Linked DNA regions of Xenopus tropicalis. The protein of the gene in region 3 interacts with the protein of the main gene of each other region in a biochemical or structural test. Links are inferred from orthologs where the notes say so. Each region holds a gene or a part of one and is shown on either strand. Other genes may lie near its edges.

What was found.
Region 1: the proteins of ngf (region 3) and sort1 form a complex in vitro, tested with the Homo sapiens proteins (3 studies listed by BioGRID and IntAct, with this or other methods). The link is inferred for Xenopus tropicalis from reciprocal best matches to the Homo sapiens genes NGF and SORT1.
Region 2: the proteins of ngf (region 3) and ngfr form a complex in vitro, tested with the Homo sapiens proteins (2 studies listed by BioGRID and IntAct, with this or other methods). The link is inferred for Xenopus tropicalis from reciprocal best matches to the Homo sapiens genes NGF and NGFR.

What each region holds. Positions count from the first base shown.
Region 1 is NC_030678.2:71,416,846-71,423,108, reverse strand, and holds part of sort1 (sortilin), read left to right. Parts: intron 1-3,112; coding exon 3,113-3,303; intron 3,304-3,731; coding exon 3,732-3,921; intron 3,922-4,018; coding exon 4,019-4,135; intron 4,136-6,263.
Region 2 is NC_030686.2:14,204,599-14,211,605, forward strand, and holds the start of ngfr (tumor necrosis factor receptor superfamily member 16), read left to right. Parts: upstream 1-2,495; 5' UTR 2,496-2,607; coding exon 2,608-2,643; intron 2,644-7,007. UniProt on the Homo sapiens protein: Low affinity receptor which can bind to NGF, BDNF, NTF3, and NTF4. Forms a heterodimeric receptor with SORCS2 that binds the precursor forms of NGF, BDNF and NTF3 with high affinity, and has much lower affinity for mature NGF and BDNF.
Region 3 is NC_030678.2:52,932,043-52,939,099, reverse strand, and holds the start of ngf (beta-nerve growth factor precursor), read right to left. Parts: upstream 3,630-7,057; 5' UTR 3,579-3,629; intron 1-3,578. UniProt on the Homo sapiens protein: Nerve growth factor is important for the development and maintenance of the sympathetic and sensory nervous systems.

The DNA.
Region 1 (6,263 bases), about 18 Mb from region 3:
GGGCCAAACTAGCAGAAAACTCAAGGACAGAATCAAAAATGTTATTCCACAGTAGCAAAGCACTTTAATGACTGTTCCAATAGATCTCTGTCCTATTTAAATATCATAGGGATTGATAGAGTAATCCCAGGTCCTCGAGGGGGAGACATCATTCAGACTGTAATAAGAAAAGAAACCAAATGGATTTTTTTTCTCAAAACCAGACAACCGAATGGTTTAAATTTTGAATATGATGTAACCTGTTATGTATAATAATTGTGTTCTTAACTTGCCTATAATATTGGATTTTCACTCTCACAATTGAGATTTAAGTTTCAATAAGTTCAATAATCAAAATAAATTCCAATAAAATTAGGATTTATCAATCTTACTGAACAAATACATGCACGGAATCAGTATGCGAGATGCCAGGCTCCCCCCTACTGCCTCCTCTAGCAGGGTCACCTAGAGAAGTAATCACTCATTAATGCCTTGCTTCTCAACCTGTCTATCAAAAGGAGCACATCATAAACTGAGAGGATTCAACTTGAGGTTTACTTCAAGGAGCTCCCTCCCTCTTCACCTCAATAGCATGCAGGCTTGATGTTCCGTTGCCTGCCTGCCTGCTTCAAACAGTTCCATTCCTGCCTGCTTGTAAAGGCTCTCCCTCCCCCTCCCCATTAGACACAGACACCGAAGCTGAAAGCAGGGAGCGTGTGATGTCACGCCAGGGGGCGGGGCAAGGAACCAGGAAGGAGCGGAGCACAGAAGAGCACACAGGGAATCAGGTAGCAGAGGGTGTTAATTGGAGCGACTCGAGTATAAGCCGAGGGTTAATTTTTCAGCACATTTTGGGAGCTGAAAAACTTGGTTAATACTCGAGTATATACGGTATGTTGTAAATGTTAGTTATCCTATGATTAAGTACCCTATTGGTACGAAACGCGTAAGGCTTTTGTTTTTTTTTTAAACACAAGATTATTTGCCCCAAGTTTTTAAAGGAGAAGAAAAGGAGTAGCTAGAATAGGCGGTGACAGTGTGTTAGGCACCTCCCAGTTATTATACCTCCGAACTAGGCACGGGGTGCTGTTATTCTTGATCCCTGTATCAGCAATCCCTTATGGCTGCCCTGGCTGTTTTGGATTTGGCAAAGGGTTTCGGGTAAATCCTAATATGCAAATTTGAATTTCTGGGAGAAAGAATTGTCAATTTCCAAGTAACGTGGTCTAAATTCATCTTTCTACCAGGCACTTGAATTGTACCAAAAAAGGCTTGGATTCGGCAGACTCCCAAACCGAATAGTGTATCCCTACTTCGCATTAAATATATAATATTCTCCCTAAATTTTGTACTTAAGGTTCATGGAACATATTCTTAAATGACATGTAAACCCCCCACACACAAATGTAATCAGTGAACAGCCTCTTTTCAAAACCTGCCACTGGTTGTCCAGAGGTTAATAGTAAAGGTAGGCATACACGGGCCAATTGTAGCTGCCGATATCTGTCCCTTGTTCCCTTTACCAAAGAACAATATAGGAAAGTATGCTTTCATCGTTTTGCATATATAACTTTTTTTTTAGTTTTGTTTCTTTAATCATATAAAGATATGCGAACGCTTTGTAATTCAACGTGTATCTGATAAAAATCAGGTTGTTAATACAACCTCAGGCTTTTCCTATGTAAATATATGGTAGTATAGGTATGAGACCTGTATCCAGAACGCTCAGGAGTCTATTGGATATGGCCTTCAAAGCTTTCTGGATAGCAGGTTTCCGGGTAACAGATCCTATAACTGTACTATATATCTGTTCAAATGAGAGAAAACCTCATTCACACTATACACCAGAAAATGTGAACTGAGGTGTGCCCTGATGAAGTCCTGGGCACTGCAGAAGTTCTTTCTTTCGGTACTTGTGATACATGTCCTGTACCGCATATCTAATTGGGTTTTTTTTAATTATGTTTTTATATTTGCATAGTTCAAGTTCATAGTTCATACATCAGTAATGAGTGTTATTCATTTTTCAGCCTTCTGAATACATTTATAGCTTCAGTATTTTCATTTGATAAGGAAAAATGTGCATACTCGGCATCCAAAAATTAAGGCATTTTGAACATGCTTAATTCTTTAGCGAACACCAGGGGACCCAGGCACTCACCCCCTTTTTACTTATAATTTTTTTGAAATGCATAGTATTCATAGCATTTACATGCCTTTTTTTCTTCTTTAGATTACATTTGGCCTGTTTTTCCCCAGGAAATTATGCACAATAGTCTGTGCATACTTTGCAAATTTGCTGATTTTCTGTCTACATTGAACTGAATTTCTAAACAGTACATTGCTTTGTTTTACAACAGACTTTCTGCAGGTGCAAAACAGTACAACCTTTCACACTATCTTAGAATTTGCCAAGATAAAGGCTTTAAGGGGATGTAAACCCAAAAAACTACATTTTGCCTAATAAAAGAAAATTTAATTTCTTTTTTCCATCAGCAATATACTGTGGTTTTGACTGACAGACCACAGTATGTTGTTAGTAAAAACACCTCTAGAATCCTAAGACTGAGTACAGGCTGTGTGCTTGCTCGGCTAACATATGACTGCATTGCTAAATTCAATTCTAGCTACATTATCAAGTTCACAGATCACACAACAGTATATCTGTTTTGACAATTAGTTTCAAGAGACAGAACTTGTAGTTTAGAAAGGGACACAAAAATACTACTTTCAGTTGCAATTCTGTTTTTGTTGTGGATATATATTGGAAAGTTGCTTAGAATGTAAATTAACATTTTTTTGTCTTTAATGAATGTAATTAAAAGCTGTCCTCTTTATAACCCATATATTAATTAATCTGGCTCATCATTTTTTCAATAACCGCTTTATTTTGTAAATCCTCATCATCTTAGGGCTGCATTTTTAGATCAGTTCCATTTATATGGCTACAATAAGATGTATTTATCCCCATGAGAGACTTAAATCCGATACACTAAATTTAGCTACAGTTAGACCATCTGACACTGGCAAAGATTAAAGTGAAGTAGAAGTATAGAAGCCTTCTTTTTAATTATGCTGTTTTCTAGGTCTGTTCATTGTTACCAAGCTGTAATATTTTACTGTTTTCCTTCAGGTTCTCCATAGATGAGGGCCAGTGCTGGTTCTATTACAAGTTCACGAATGATTCTTTCATATTTACTGGCCTAGCATCTGAGCCAGGTGCTCTTTCTCTGAATGTGACCATATGGGGATATCAGCCTGGTGTTATTCGCCACATCTGGATGTCTTACACTATTGATTTTGCTCATCTTTTACACAAAGACTGTGAGTCTTCTAGAATTTGGTTTTCCTGATGTTCTGTGTCATTGATACACTTCTTTTAGGGCACATTTTTTTCACTGTAGTGTATACCAGAAAAAACAGAAGCAGAATAATCAAATCACTTCCCATCATAGGTAATAGAAATTATTGTAAAAAAAGGTTGGAAAACAGATTATAGATCTTATAGATAATGGATTTTTAACTTAGAAAATTCATGGTTTTACAGTGAAAAATGGCATAAATGCTGCTGTTATTTATTGCATTTTTCTCTTGCACTTGACCACTTGTCATATGATTATACCTGTATTTAGCAAATAAGGTTAAAAAACATTTTCACATTAACATTTATTCCTCCAATCTTGTCTTATTTGTTTTACTCATGTCACCTATAATGGACTTTTGTGATGCGTGACATGGTCGTTTCTGTTCAGGTGAAGAAAAGGATTACATTTTGTGGCTGGCACACTCAACTGATCCTCAGGCACCTTTGGATGGTTGTGTTTTGGGATACAAGGAGCAGTATTTTCGGCTACGCAAATCTTCAGTGTGCCAGAATGGGCGTGATTATACAGTGAGCAAAGTACACACACCTTGTGCTTGCACCCTGGATGACTACATGTGGTACTGATGCTCGTGTTTATTCATATCTTAAAACATCCAATGTAATCAGCTTAAAGGACACCTCCAGAGATATCCAATCTCTTTTCTTTCTTGTCAGCGATTTTGGTTATTATCGTAACGAGAATGAATCAGAGTGTGTGGAGCAGTCAGAGCTAAAGGGACAGGAACTGGATCTGTGTGTATATGGAGAAGAAGAGAAGCTTACCACTAGTGGGTAAGTACATTGCACAGACCAAAACAATATGGCAAGGTATCATCTACTACTATTATAGAGATAATTGGTCAGATTCAGATCAATGAGAATATAGCATAAAAACTTATGGACGAGATACAGTTTTTCTCCTTATTCATTTTTAGTTTTTCCGATAGACTTAGGGGCTGATTTACTAAGACACGATTTCGAATCCGAATTGGAAAAATTCAGATTGGAAACGAACATTTTGCGACTTTTTCGGTAATTTTGCGATTTTTTTCGTATTTTTTGCGATTTTTTTCGTATTTTTTGCGATTTTTTTCGGTGTCTTTACGATTTTTGCGTAAAAACGCGAGTTTTTCGTAGCCATTGCGAAAGTTGCGCAAAGTCGCGATTTTTTCGCAGCGTTAACACTTGCGCGCAAAGTCGCGCCTTTTTCGTAGCGTTAAAACTTAAAAGGCGCGACGTTTCGCGCAAGTTTTAACGCTACGAAAAAATCGCGACTTTGCGCAACTTTCGTAATGGCTACGAAAAACTCGCGTTTTTACGCAAAAATCGTAAAGACGCCGAAAAAATTGCAAAAAATACGAAAAAATCGCAAAATTACCGATCATTACGAAAAAACCGCAATCGGACGCATATGGCCCATTCGTGGGTTAGTAAATGTGCCCCTTAGAGTTTTAATGTGGTAAACAGTGAGATAAGTTTTGTTAAGTTTAGGTAAGTATATATATATATATATATATAACAATACTGTCACTGCACTCATCCATAGTGCGAACCCCGGAGCACACGGGTTATTTGCAAAAAAGTGTATTAAAAAGAATCACATATGCGACGTTTCGGACAAAACACATGCCCTTTATCAAGCCTGTAATAACGCGATCCATCCAGTGAATCGCATTTAAAGGGATATACAGGAAATGACATCATAGACTAAGCGTTCCCATAGCGATTCATTTCAAGTCATAGTATACATTTTACATATACAGGACGTTGTCAGTCAAATAGCAGCATCTTATATAGAAAAAATGTGCAGTTGCATACAAATACTTACAAAAAGAGAAACAAATCATAATCCCTGTTCAATCCAATAGGAAAAAGCGATTGTAATTTATTAATCCACCACACCTCCCTTTGTTTCAGCCTAAATTCCCTGTCACCTCCTCTTTTTAGAGGTGGTATAGATTCCAATACCATGAACCTGAGCTGTTCTGCAGTGTGGCCCTTTTCACAAAAATGCTTAGACACCAGTAATGTAGTATTTCCAAGATTAATAGTTGATCGATGTTGTCATATACGGGATTTTACCATCTGTGTGGTCTCACCCACATAGATGAGACCACACGGACAGATCAACACATAAATTGCATATTTTGTTACACATGTGAAGTGCCCCCGTAATTGTACCTTTTGAGGCACCCCCTATGATATCATACCGTAGAGGGAGAACTACACTTTTCTAGGAGCAAAAAGGAAGTTGTTTTGTGCATCCAAAAACAGGTCAGAAGGTACAATTATGGTTGTAAATGTGATTCACTGGATGGATCGCGTTATTACAGGCTTGATAAAGGGCATGTGTTTTGTCCGAAACGTTGCATATGTGATGTGATTCTTTTTAATACACTTTTTTGCAAATAACCCGTGTGCTGCATCTTTTTCAAGTTTTATATATATATATATAATCTATATATTATTGTTACTGGTGTAAGAGTGCTGCATTACGTGACTAAAAAGTCTAATGAACTGTATAGTATATATGAAAATGTTGCTGTAAAGTATTTTTTATTTTAAACTGTTTTTTAGAGAATGCTATGTTTTGGTAAAGAAAGAATTATACTGTTTAGAACTGCGAACAATTTAAATAATTGATCCTTTACTGTGACCCAAAATTGTGTTACTCTGCTATAGAGGTTGGGTTTCAGTCATTCATCTAGGAAAATTTTACTGATAGAGATAAAAATATTTGTTTTTAAACCAAATTTTGGGTCGCAACATAATTTGTGTCCCCTGAAAAAAGAGGTTATGAATTACCTAAATTCTTGGTAACTTGTGGAAGTTCTGCAGTACAGAACAAATTATGCAGGTGACTGAAACCCTTTTATTCAGGAAACCAGTATGGAGAATTCTCTTCATTACAGCTAGGAAA
Region 2 (7,007 bases), on a different chromosome or scaffold from region 3:
AATGCCATAACAAGGGACATGGGTCAGTGGGATTTTCCTTCCTTACTGGGTGAGAACAGTCAGATTTCCCTCTGCCCACTGCTGCCTTGTTCCTGACAAACCCCAAATGCCCCAGGCCATAAATTCCAGACATCCGTCCATTGCAATCCTATAAGGCTGATTCCTCTTTAGAGACCCCAAATCCCCTGCAGCTGTTTAACTCATGAGACCCTGATACTAAAAGACTTGTCTACACATAAAGGCAAACTATGGCATTTGTAGCCAATGAGCACCAATTGACCAACTTAATCCAGTGACTTTACTTAAGATGACCTTATAATGGTGTGGTTGCCAAATGAGCGTCTCTTTGCCCAATTTGCCTACCCAGGTACATGCCCAAATTGGGCTGATCCAACCTTTGGTGCAGGGGACAATTGGATTATACTGCGGTACTGTGGAGACCCATTAGGTGAAAACTGCATTAATGCCCAAAATATATTTACCTGATGTTTGGACAGGCAGGTCCTCCCAGGAGTACCATACAGGGGCCATTTTAACTGGTTGACGTATGGCCAGCATTATTCCCTGGCTTTCACTGCATATGGAGATAGCTTTCTCACAAAATACATTTGCTTATTTAGTAAATAGGGTGGGGGAGGTGCTTGGCCAGGGGCCACTGGTAATGAGCAGCTTGCTCACTTATTTTGGCAGCAGTTTTTCCTGCTGCAGGGCATAATTGTCTATACACTGCTGTCCCCTAGTTACAGCCATGACAGCCATGACTTTATTCCTAACATATTGCTTTAAATACATGTCAGCCTGTACATATCAGTAAATAACAACAGAAGCAGGCTAAAGACTTTGGTGGTTGGAGAACCTGAACCAAAGAGCTTACATTCTTAATAAGTGCAGCTTCGTCTGATCTACAAACCAGGTTTTAGAATAGTCAGCCCTAATATAAATTTTGCTGAAATATTTTGTCTTTGCTATACACACAATGCTACAGTTACAGCGTCTGCCCCAACGCTGTCTTGCCTTACTATACACACTGTGCCACAACATAAGCTTTTCCCTATTACAGCCCCTTCGCCTGAACCCACTTTGCCTTATGCTACATAATACAGGTATGGGATCCGTTATCCGGAAACCCGTTATCTAGAAAGCTCCGAATTACGGAAAGCCTGTCTCCCACAGACTCCATTTTAATCAAATAATTCAGAATTTTAAAAATGATTTCATTTTTCCCTGTAGTAATAAAACCGCACCTTCTGCTTGACTCCAGTTAAGATATAATTAATCCTTATTGGATACAAAACAAGCCTATTGGGTTTAATTAATGTTTTAGTAGATTTTTTTAGTAGACTTAAGGTATGGAGATCCAAATTACGGAAAGACCCCTTATCTGGAATACCCTTGGTCCTGAGCATTCTGGATAACGGGTCCTATACCTGTACCATATGAATTGCTATACAGGTATAGGACCCATTATCCAGAATGCTCGGGACCAAGGGTATTTCCGTAATTTGGATCTCAATACCTTAAGTCAACTAAAAAATCAATAAAACATTAATTAAACCCAATAGGATTGTTCTGCATCCAATAAGGATTAATTATATCTTAGTTGGAATCAATTACAAGGTTCTGTTTTATTTCTACATAGAAAAAGGAAATCAGTTTTAAAATTCTGAATTATTTGATTAAAATGGAATCTATGGGAGACGGGCATTACGTAATTCGGAGCTTTCTGGATAACGGGTTTCCGGATAAGGGGTCCGATACCTGTACTATGCATTCCCACTATCCCACAGTTACAGAACTTTCTTTAAACCATCGTGCCCGACTTTACCCATAATCGCAGTTACAGCCCTGGGTTTGGCGGGGGGCACTGCAGTGGTGCCACAGTGCCAGCTTGGCAGATTATTTCCCGTTGCAGGCTGCTGCTGCGCAGACAGATGGAAGCAGTGTGCAGAGGCGCAGCTGTAAGTACAGTTCTGCTGTTACACAGGCTTTTTACAAACCCAAAGGGAAAACAGAGAAACTTATTTAAAGACAAGAGTGCTCAGTGTTCTCCCTCCCCATACATGATGTTGTATGATATCTGCCCTTGAGGATATGTAATGGCACCCCCAGACTAATTCCAAGAATGCCTAATGCCTTCCCCCTGGCACCCCTTCCCATTACCTGTGCCCCCTGCCCATTGCTTAAAAGCTCTATTATCTTCCTGCCAAACCCCAAGTGTGCACAGTAAGCCCCACTAAGACAATAAAGAGGAGATCAAGAGAATAAAAAAGGCTGCCTCTTCCTTTTCTTTTTTTCTGTCTCCTAATGAGCAGTTAAGTGTATATGGGGCTCCCATCCAAATAACCTTCCCTAAATCCAATCCCTGCCACCACCAGTCTTTGCTTGTTCAAGAGGCTCTCAGTGTAGAAGGGGAGGGGCTGTGGGTGACAGTGGGCGTGGCCTGTGGGGATGACTGGGCTTGCTGGTGGGAGGACAGCTAAGAGGGTGGTTTTCATAAGCAGAAGGGGATGGATTCTTAAGGCTTAAGGGGCAGGTGTTGCTGAATCCTACAGAGCTGCATTCTGCATCTGCTTATCTGCCCTCAGCCATCAGCTTTATAGGATCAGCATGGAAACCCCTCTGTTTATTATCCTGTGCTGCATGGTAAGTGCCTGAGATGTGCCGGCTGCCTGTGTGTGGGGATTGAACTCTGTAATGCAAGTGGTCCTTCTTGGCTGTCCAATGGGGTATGGAGGATGCTCTGAGCATCTCCCTGTGTGCTGCTTGGGTTATTATCCATACAGCTAAATGTGTGTTAGAATAGGAGTTTCATATTTGATGCTACCATAAAGTGCAGCCACAGCCATCAAGGTTTATTTTTCCTTTGCCTTAATATTTGCTTTTTGCCTAATATCTGGGCTCTAGGGTCACAATTTCATGGCACTAGTATAGTTAAAGTTTTATTGGGGAAGGGGGTCATACAGTTTGCCCTGCAGCCCCCAGCAGTTTATTGGCACTTTGAGTGCCCTGCAGGGGTTAAGACACCCAACGCAGCACCGTGCCATGGGGACTCTGCAGTATTGTATGGATTGTTGTAGTGTTTATGTTTACAGGGTGGGAAGCCCAGGGAAGGGGTGGTCTGAGGTCGGTATCTGCAGTGCACTAGGGTTTGGCTGCTGGATAATGCAGTGGTGATAATTACCTTCCTATTACTGCGCACACAAAATCTCTCCGTGCTCAGATTTCAGCACAAGCGGCACAATGCCTGCTCTTCAGTCCACAAGCTCCCAGGCTTCCACTCAAACCTCCCCCCCTCCTCAGCAAAAATCCATTAATGGAAGGGATGAGCTGGGCTGTCAGATGAATGGACGCTGTCACTGTCCCTTTCCTTGGCACAGTCCATCCTTGCTGGCTTTGGTAACATGTGCCACCCCCTTACTCTCTCACCAAGGGCTGTGTGCCAGTCAAAGGGCTGGGGAGGAGGCGGTGGAATTGTCGGGGATCCCCCTGTTCTGCGTCATCCATGGAACCTGTGCTAAATGAGACTTTGGTTTTCCTCCATCAGTCTCTGGAACTGGTACAGGAGATCTCTGTGTATAACACTAGCGTATGCTGTGGGATAGTGTCCTTATGTGGCACCGTGCCTATTAATACTGTAAAGCACTGAATGGCAATACAAAAGCAATGTAAACATAAATGCATGCAGGTCGCTACTGCTAGAACAGTATAAGAAGGTCCAAGCTGTCTGTCAATTGACTGCAATGTTAATAAAGTGTGCAAATGTGTAGCATTTATATCTAACCAATGCTGGGTTCTATGTGTGTATGGCACTTCCTATCAGTCTGACCCTGGCTGGCTCTGGGTATTTGTGTGCAGAACTATATAGCAAACTCAGTCTGGGTGCATGTGTGTGGGACTTTCTATCTATCTGACTTGGGTGCATGTATGTGGGACTTTCTATCTATCTGACTTGGGTGCATGTATGTGGGACTTTCTATCTATCTGACTTGGGTGCATGTATGTGGGACTTTCTATCTATCTGACTTGGGTGCATGTGTGTGGGACTTTCTATCTATCTGACTTGGGTGCATGTATGTGGGACTTTCTATCTATCTGACTTGGGTGCATGTGTGTGGGACTTTCCATCTATCTGACCCTGGGTGCATGTGTGTGGGCCATTCTGTCTGACCCTGGGTGCATGAGCGTTAAACTTTCTATCTGACTTGGGTGCATGTATGTGGGACTTTCCATCTATCTTACTTGGCTGCATATGCGTGGGACTTTCTATCTATCTGACTTGGGTGCATGTGGGTGGGACTTTCTATCTATCTGACTTGGGTGAATGTGTGTGGGACATTTTATCTATCTGAATCTGGGTGCATGGGTTACACTGGGTGAATGTATCAGTTTATTGTAAATGCTCTATATGCTCTACTTTAAACTGCACCCTGCACCCTGGGTGCATATGTGTGGCATATTATATCAGATTGACTCAGGGTGGTCCTTTATATTACGCTAACTGCTCATACAAATAAGGGCACCACTTCCATGTTATGTTTTATCTGTTGTTAGGAATTTAATAAACAAGTTGGGAAAGGCTAGGCAACGTGAGACATGTTTGTTAGTGAAATACTTGGAAGAGGCTTTTGGATGTTATTGCAGTTTGCCACAGACTTGTTCTGGATGGTGACTTGAGAAGGGAAACTATGAATGTACTTGTGATTTGTAATGGGGTGTCTGCATTGGTTGGCAAGTCTTCTCCTAGATGAGGAGCTCTGGAGATGACAAAGTGGTGAGTTTATGGGTTTATGTGTGAGGCCGCTCTGAATGGACACAAATTGGGCGGGTGCCTCTGTATAGGATAACAATCATAGGTTTATGTGTAAGAGGGGCTGTAATGGGGAGGAAAGTAGATTTTGGATGGAGCTCTGATTTTGGGTGGGAAGTTTTGCAAACTTTTCTGGATAGCCAAGGCTGGGTAAGTGAGTGGGTGTTGTAGATCAACTGCTAAATGCCTGTTGTGTTTTTAGATAAACAAAAACATTCATCCATCACTGTCCTGTTTCCTTGGGCTTCCAAACTTTTCCTTTGCAATTAAACGCTGTAGTCTTATGCCGGCAGAGGGACTGTGGGTTTTGCTAAATTGCCTTTGAGATGTTCAGCAATGGTGGGATTACTGCTCCTCAAAAGCCAGCATTAATTAGGAATGTGGAACTTTATATGGTTTGGCCACAGGCATTCCATTAAGATGACATGCGTAATATTTTACTACTTACTACACCATGGAAAAAATTATATACATAGTTTTGGCTTAGTGGGTTTAGGTAAGGCTTTTTTTTTGTTTATTTTCATTGTTTTTCTCATGTATGTATATATAACATAGAAGATACACGACAGGATAAGGAGAGCAATACTTTCATGTAGAAGACTGATATATCCAGGAATTATCCACATATAGAGGAAATAAATTGTCTAGATTTTCTACAAATGGGGTTCTTGGCATTTCTCTTGGGGGACCCAGATAAAATTGGTATTCTGCTTTGGAACCCAAGAATGCACTTTATTAAAATGAATGCTGTTAAAAGAGATTTAGAAGGATAATAGAGACCCACCCAGAACAGCATGGGGTCCCATTTTTGGATCCCCATGCATATGTTAAGAATACCTGTTCTAGAGAGATCTAGAGGATTTGTGGATTGTGGAAACATGTGAGGGAGCTATGTGTTTATGTCAGCCATGTCTAGTCATTCTTTGAATTCTCACGGAAATGCTTAAAAGAACTTGTAAATGTAGATATTTTGGATTTGTTGTTATAGTAATTGGAATAGTACAGGCTAGATCTTTGGGTTACCAAACAATTCCTGAGCTGTTTATGGTTAGGAAGTAACCATAAGAAAGAAAAGTACATGGTTTTTATTGTGGACATTCAAGGTAGTCTGCACCGCCCAACTCCCAGTTATAGTCTGGAAGCCCAGGATATAATATCCACCATAACTGCATGCTGAGATGCTTGTGCTTATAGCTCTGTTGGTGTGAAGGCTGGCATAGTTTGTATTTTATGGATGCAAGTCCTCCATGTATCTGCTAATAGGGGCTGTTATTTTCTATAGAACATCGAGGTTCTCAGGTAAAACAGTTCCAGATAGCATGAAACCACATTCCAAGCTGCTACTCGTTACCACGCCCAGAGCTAAATGCATTCTGGAGTGGCAGGTAGACAGAGTGACAGCTACTACGGCTGATGGAGTGCGATACACATCGCTCATATGCAGGTTGCGCAGGAATGGGCACGACCAGCCTTCCCACCAGTAAATGTGCTGACTCATAACCATCCCAGCTATTAAATATAGCACTAAAAGCCTTGGTTAAATTAGAAGCAATTGACCCATTATGTAGAGACCAGATAAAAGGCAACCTGAAGAGCATGTGTGGGACTTTTTCCTATTTACTTGTCAGGGCACCCAACCATCTGGCTCTGTGTCAGTCTAATCTATTTTTTATGGCTTTTATTATCAACATTTTTAATTTATTTAGTATACGTATATTGCATAGCAACTTTACTTGGTCCCAGTGGAGCTTACCATCTAATTTCCCTTTCTCTACACAACCACACAATTTGATCTTAAACCCATTAACGTACTAATCTATCTATCTATCTATCTATCATCTATCTATCATCTATCTATCATCTATCTATCTATCTATCATCTATCTATCTATCTATCTATCATCTATCTATCTATCTATCATCTATCTATCATCTATCTATCTATCTATCTATCTATCTATCTATCTATCTATCTATCATCTATCTATCTATCTATCTATTATCTATCTATCTATCATCTATCTATCATCTATCTATCTATCTATCTATCTATCATCTATCTATCTATCTATCATCTATCTATCATCTATCTATCTATCTATCTATCTATCTATCTATCTATCTATCTATCTATCTATCATCTATCTATCTATCTATCTATCTATCTATCTATCTATTATCTATCTATCTATCATCTATC
Region 3 (7,057 bases):
ACATGTGCCATAGTAGCCATAATAAGCTTGCATTTAAAATAGAACACACAATACATTGAAACTGATGGCAATTAATTAATAGTTTTGCCTAACAGAAAATGGACCCCTTCATTCCGATTAGATATTGAGATAAATATTTATTCCATTCAGTTAAGCTGTCTAAATCAATAAAAAAAGAACTGTATTTTAGGTCACTTTAGCATACGGCTCTCCAGTTGTTGTTATTTTAAAGCTCTCAACATCCCTCAACGAAAGGTAACTTTTAGGGGTTTCTGGGATTTGTAGTTCAGCCACAGGTTGAAGATCATTGTGTAACTAACATAATGCCAGCATGTGTTACAGCAGAATCTCCAATAAAAGAATACACTGACTTTTAAAATCAGTGCCATTTATTATTCTGAAGTTCGCTTTAGTAAAACCACTGACATAGGACACGTTTTAAATAAATGCAAATCCTCCTGACCTGGGAAAGGAACATAACTAATTACTGTAAAGTGAAGTCAAAGAATTACATTCCCCCTCTCCCACCTCTTTAAAATATACAGGAACTGACAAATTACACTCTAGAGTTTTGGGCTTCCTCCATATATGGGAAGATTACTTAGCTGGGGTTTGCCACTAGCTAAATGCAATGAATCTGTCCCTCATTTGATGGCAGACTAAACTATTCGTTTTACGTCAATCACTGTTATAGAAATGAGGCTGCCAAAATCTAAATATTCTTACCAAAGGTGTAATACCACTGATATTGTAATTTGTATGGGAAAAATATGACCATAAGTTCTATTTATAACACTTATAGTTCATATTTAAATATATATGTTTGTGTCAGTATATGTCAATATATGCTGTAGGGTTGGATCCACTGTTTATTTTTGTCTCTTACCTCAAGCATGATTTAAAATACATTGGTCACTCCTGACTACTCTTACTGCTCCTAAAGGTAGCCTCTAAGAAAAGAAACAGCGTCTAGGCTCTCCCATTATGCCTACTGCACAACCTTTCTCCCTCTGCTTTCCATCAGGCAGTGGTGCGCTGAGAGTCAAAAGATAGACTTGGCTGCTTTAGGTGTCTAGATGGGAGCTGCAGAGAGGACCACTTATGAAGGGAGTCAACAGCATAAATATAGCTAGGCATCTTCACCATATGACTATAATTTATGGTATACATTTTCAGCGACTTCACAAAGTACAGTACATTTTATACATTATATAACAGTGCTTTAGATACCTCTATTGTAGGTAGCATAAACCTCATACTGCCATATATGTAGTATGGTTGCACAGAGGTTAATAATAGTTGGCAAGGAATCCAGGTTAGTATGGGAACAATCCAATCCTTCAAGCTGTCTCTGTTACTTTCGTCTGCAACAGACTTTTATTTATAAAAAAAAAGTAATATGTGCCTTTGGCATCAACAACATTGATGTTTCCAGGCTTGTGCTGTGTACAATAGAACAATTGCTATGGAAGCTATGGATATAACACTGTCCCCAGTTACTGAACAGCTGAGCCCCCAGTGTACAGTAGGCAAAACTATCAGGTCCTTCCAATATCATTGCCTGCTTTTTTTTAAAAAAAAAGTCACATGTCTTACCCCAATAAAGCTGTCCTGAGCCACCACCCCTCCAGTTAACATTCTTTACAAATATACATATTCTACAAATATACATATTCTGGCAGGTAATGTAAGACACATCTGTACAAAGAGAAGGTTAACAGATGTGATAAACTCTATCTAATCCTACCTAATACTCTGCCGTGTTGCCTTAATTCACCTCTTATTTGGCACCTACAGCAATCTGAAAAGTCTAACATCAATGAAGGCATGATTGGCAGTTTGACAGATATTTTCCAAATTGTTTCTATGCAATTATTGTTATCAACAAATGTAACAGACAATATTCAGTGATTATAAATGATAGTAAAATATCAACAAAGATAACATTCACTATATCTACAGCATTTCTGGTGGAAGCTTGGTAAAAGGACATGTTGTTTACTCAATGCCTAACAAATAAGTATAAGACAAATATAATATCACATCTGCTTCGTATACACCATCTGTTTAACATGATTGCCTTGCATGGCTCTAGTAATGCAGACAACACATCAAAATATGTGCAGACAATTCTGTGTTTGTGGTGGTGGAAGAGAAACAGAATGTTGGTGTTAAGAATTGCACTCTAAGATATTATTATTGTTTTTATTCTTAACAAGTATTTATAAAGCACCAACATATTCTGCAGCATTGTACAATAGAAGGGCAAAATTTACAACCAGTAACTGATGCAAATGGTAAAGTGGGCCCTAATCAATAGAGCTTACAATCTAAAAGGAGAATGGGTAGTTGTAAAGTGTGCACTTTTTTGTCAGGTATTGCAATGTACACTGTATAAAAGAATTACAGAGCTCTTCATGTAGCTGAAATCTGGCAGCCTTGGCTTTGGCTAATACTCTACAAGCCTTAACGTAATGCAGTTTAATGCGTGAAAACACCCAAGGTTTATCCCATAAGAAGTTACATTACTATCCGGCAGCTTTGCAGGCTTCACATTAGCAATCAACAAAGATTAAGGAGCATAGGAACCAAGTCACAACAAGCAAGTCCTCGTCTGTTCCGCACCGACCTTAAATGCTTAATAACAGCCAAGGGGTTAAACAGAACTGAGGATTTACTGTACGCTTAATACTAATATGGCATGCTTGGAATGCCTGCAAAATATTTTTTTCTGTTATAGCTCATTAAGTAAGATTTGTAGAATGTAGATCATGAAGGTGAGCTTGTATATGGTTAATTTTTTTTGTCCCATATGATCTTCTACACACACTCCTATCCAAGTGCAAGTAATAGCATCAGACAAAGTCTTCAATGCTATGTTAACTAGAGAGGCATGTCTTGTAACAGGAACACATTTTAGCACTCCGCACCTTATACATGGGAAACATATGCAAGAGCCAGAAACTTACTCTACAAGTTCATATATTGAAAAATCAGCAAATATGTAAAAATCTGATATAGCAAACAACCACCTGTTGTATTATAAAAAAAAAAACTGATTCAAGACAATTTGCATTCTAGTAGGTCATGGACCACGCATATTATTTGATCTAATCTGAATGTCTTAAAGAGCCCAATACATACAGTAAAGGTATAAGCTTGTGTCTTGCAAAGCTTACAATTTCATCAAACTCATTTCATAACAATGGTTCACCTGCTGCTTTCTTAATTTATTGCTTCCCTAAACCCAGTCTGTCTCCAAATGAGAGAGTAAAAATCCACAGCAGTAATATGCACACTACTTTCAAAAGACAGGCACTTTATGTCTTCAAATGGTAAGTCTAATTCCATTATTACAGAAGTTATTGCGACAGACGTGGCAGGGTTAGGAGTGCCCCATAATTACCTGCAAGGGGGTTACCCTAAAGCACACACTTTGTTTAGATGGTGCTTAAACTACATGAAAAAACATCCTTTTATTATACGCTTCAGTACGTCTGTAGTAATCAAAATCCAAAGTTTACGTTTAATAAACAGAGTCAGTATTTACATAGAGGAGAGTTTAGGTAGATGCTTACCTGTGCTGCAGAGTGTCTGTCGATCACAAGAAGGTAAAATCCTGGCTAAACCAGTTATTTTGTAGCCTCTTGTATCCTAGTCCACAAAATGCTTTGAAACCCAGCTGAGCCATTCACATGTCTGTTCTCATTCACTGGTTTCAGGAGCTCCAGTACTAGGGCTGACTCATAAGGCAGCACATTTCCTCTAGGTCCTAGTGCCTTTCTGAAAGAAACCAGGTGTGTTTCACATTCTTCTCTCTGCTGCACTTCTAGTGAAATTTCAATTTCAGTTTAAGAAGAGTTTAGGGAATTAGTTACAGAATGGAAACTCATCACTTTAGTCCGTCATAATGTAAATCTCTAATGGATTCTCTCTTAATCTACATGGGAAAAGCTGATAATAACCCCTAGAGCGATGGCAAAGTTTAAACTAGGATTATGCCTCAGCCTATCACCATCAAGCCTGTGCTGGTGTTTTTAAGTGCTCAACACACCGACTGATTGAAACCCTTTGAAGGGATTTTTCTACTTTAAAAGGGGGCAATGTGCCCCCCTGAAGTAGATATTTTTTCAATATCATCTCTTTGTTATGTGACTCTTTTCAGTTGTAAAAAAAATATATATCACATTTAGGTATTCCTTTAAGAGAAGAATTAAATATTTCCTGTGTGAGGCATTACCTACTGAATTAAAATCCTCATCATATAATAATTTACATATTGAGTAAAGGTTTTATATTAAAACATTAACATTTAGTTAAAAATTATCACCAGAAAAAAATCATTTTACATGATTAATAGAATTAAATAAAAAGTAATAGATAATCATCCTCAATACTATCTTGAGGTATGACATTTTATAATGGAGGTGGTAGTGATAGTCAGTGTGCAATGTCCTCAGTATCTGAAGCTGCAGTAGGGCAGGATGGGAGTGCAAAACCCCTGTAGAATTGCCCATTATCACCATGAGCAAACCAGCTCCTTTGTAGAAATATACAGAAGAGTTGGCAGAAATAATTGCTGCCCTTTTTTGATAGGGTTAGATGGCAGTCTTTTTTACGACTAAACATTATAGCAATCAGACATGGCAGAATTTATACTCCAGGGCTCTGGGGTGTGTGGCTATAAGCAGGATATATATAACTGCTACCATCTGGCCACTGGGGAGCACTGTTTCATTACAGTATATAGATGACGTCATATTTTTTTTCAGATTATCCAGTATGGGAATATGTAGTTAAATAAGGTTCCCCATGCAGAATAACCTGTGCCTGGATGTATCTATACTTAACTTGTTATTCTGTCTCTGTAGATTCTTTGCATTGAGAAATGTATCTGTAAATCTTTTCATAGAAGATCTTTTCATAGATGGCAACACATTTCCCAAACAGAAGTACATGTTTCCTTTGCAATCCTCACTTCATGATAAAGCACGATGAAGGGGAAACTGCTTCACCCATCCTGCTAAAGATAATATAGGAAACACTGTATACCGGAAAGGAATGTAACATTTTCATATGTGTTTCTTAAAACACTGTAGTGGCACCAAAGACCTCCATGAGCACCAATATGGTATAAAGTACATGGTGAATGTTGTTTCATATGAGAAACTGTAGATAATGTAATTGCAGTGGCCATTTACACATAGTATATAAAGGAGTATAAGAAGTATCATTTCTTGTTTGTTTATATTCCAAAGCATCAAGACGCACCCTTTACAAAAACTTCTCAAGACCAGGTTCAGAAAAGCGGAGCCATAAGTGCTTCCCATCAATCTTATATCCATAGTTGCTGCTAGGTCTATTTGGAAAGAGAAAACATTATAGTATACTGTATTGGTATCTTCTGTAAGGCTTTCTTTCTCAGTGATATATTGTTCCTAAAGTTGTGTTATCCACATAAATACAACAGATCTTAAGGGGAGTATGTGAGTTAGAAACATAGAAGGGATGAGATAAAGTGGCAAAGGGAGAGAAAGGTAGGAGAAGTCAAATGCAATTTGGTCATAAAATTAAGTACGTTTCCCAATATTAGGCACACCTGATTAAATGAAATTACAGGTATGGGACCCCTTATCCCTTATTTCCTTTTTCTCTGTAATAATAAAACAGTAGCTTGTTCTTGATCCCAACTAAGATATAATGAATCCTTATTGGAGCCAATCCTATTGGATTTAATTACTGTTTAAATAATTTTTTAAGTAGACTTAAGGTAGGAGATCTGAATTACGGAAAGACCCCTCATCCAGAAACCCAGGTTCCGAGCATTCTGGATAACGGGTCCCATGCCTGTACTGATATAGCACTGTGCACGTGGCATCCAACATCATTTATTGCACCTACAATGGAGTAGCATCAGGCGCAAGAATCCAACTGCACCTATCTTAGGCATTGCCAGACAGTGGTATCATACAGGACTTTTTTGTATTTGTTTAAATTAACTTTTAAGCAGTAAACATATAATTAAGTCATCCTTACTTTGTTTTTCTTACCTTAAATGGAGGTTTCCCTAGTTGCATTTTAGCCTTACATACAATACCTTTGTCTCTGTCTTATGTCTTCTCTTTGTCTTCTATCTTCTCTCATAGCCCCCTGTAGAGTTTTAATGTTAAGATATAGGACCTAGTGGATGAATGTTATTGTGTGAGCAGCAAAGTTATATATTGAAAAAAGCTATAGAAGAAGAGTGTTCATGTGCACAATACAGCAGGAAATGTTTAAATTAAATCTCGTCCCCTGAACCACATCACTTCAGGGGACATAAGAATAGTGGAAGCAGACGCTGCAACTGCTGGGGGGGGGGGGGGGTGGTATCTAAAACAGTAGAGTGCTCAGTGTAGTCCTGAGTGTCGAGTAATTAATATACAGTTGTAAGAAAGTTAATCCTTATGTTGTAACTTGGGCCTAAAATAATTTCACGGCCCAATAAATTCTAGTTATGCCACTAAGCGCAATGCAAGTACTTATAAAGATAGACATGAATTTCTATAGACCCATATGTAATTTATTTCTGCGTGTGTGTTTACATTTGGGATAGATTGTATAAATGCATATCACCCTGACCTGACAAATACCCAAGGGTACCGAATCATACATTCCTTCAGAATAATAACCAACATGTACAAGACCTGCGGCTTCCTGTCACAAATAATATGTATGTGATTTATAATAATGATAACAGTATAAATATGAGATATAACACTGGTAACAGTACTTAAGCTTGACATAATTACACATCATTAATGCAAAATGTGCCTCTCGTGAATGTTTACTTTGGAAATATTGAATGTATTTCTAAATATCTACATAAATACAGGCTGCAGTGACTTGTAATGTGCCCTTCCTGTAGATAGGTTTAGCATTTATTAGCCATGATTGAAAGCTATGACACGATTTTCCCCTGCCGCCTTCACAAATGACATGAAAGTATTACTACTGGCATTAGATGTGTTTCTGAGCTTTTCAATGTGTCAGGAAGATATACACATTCCTTCATTCT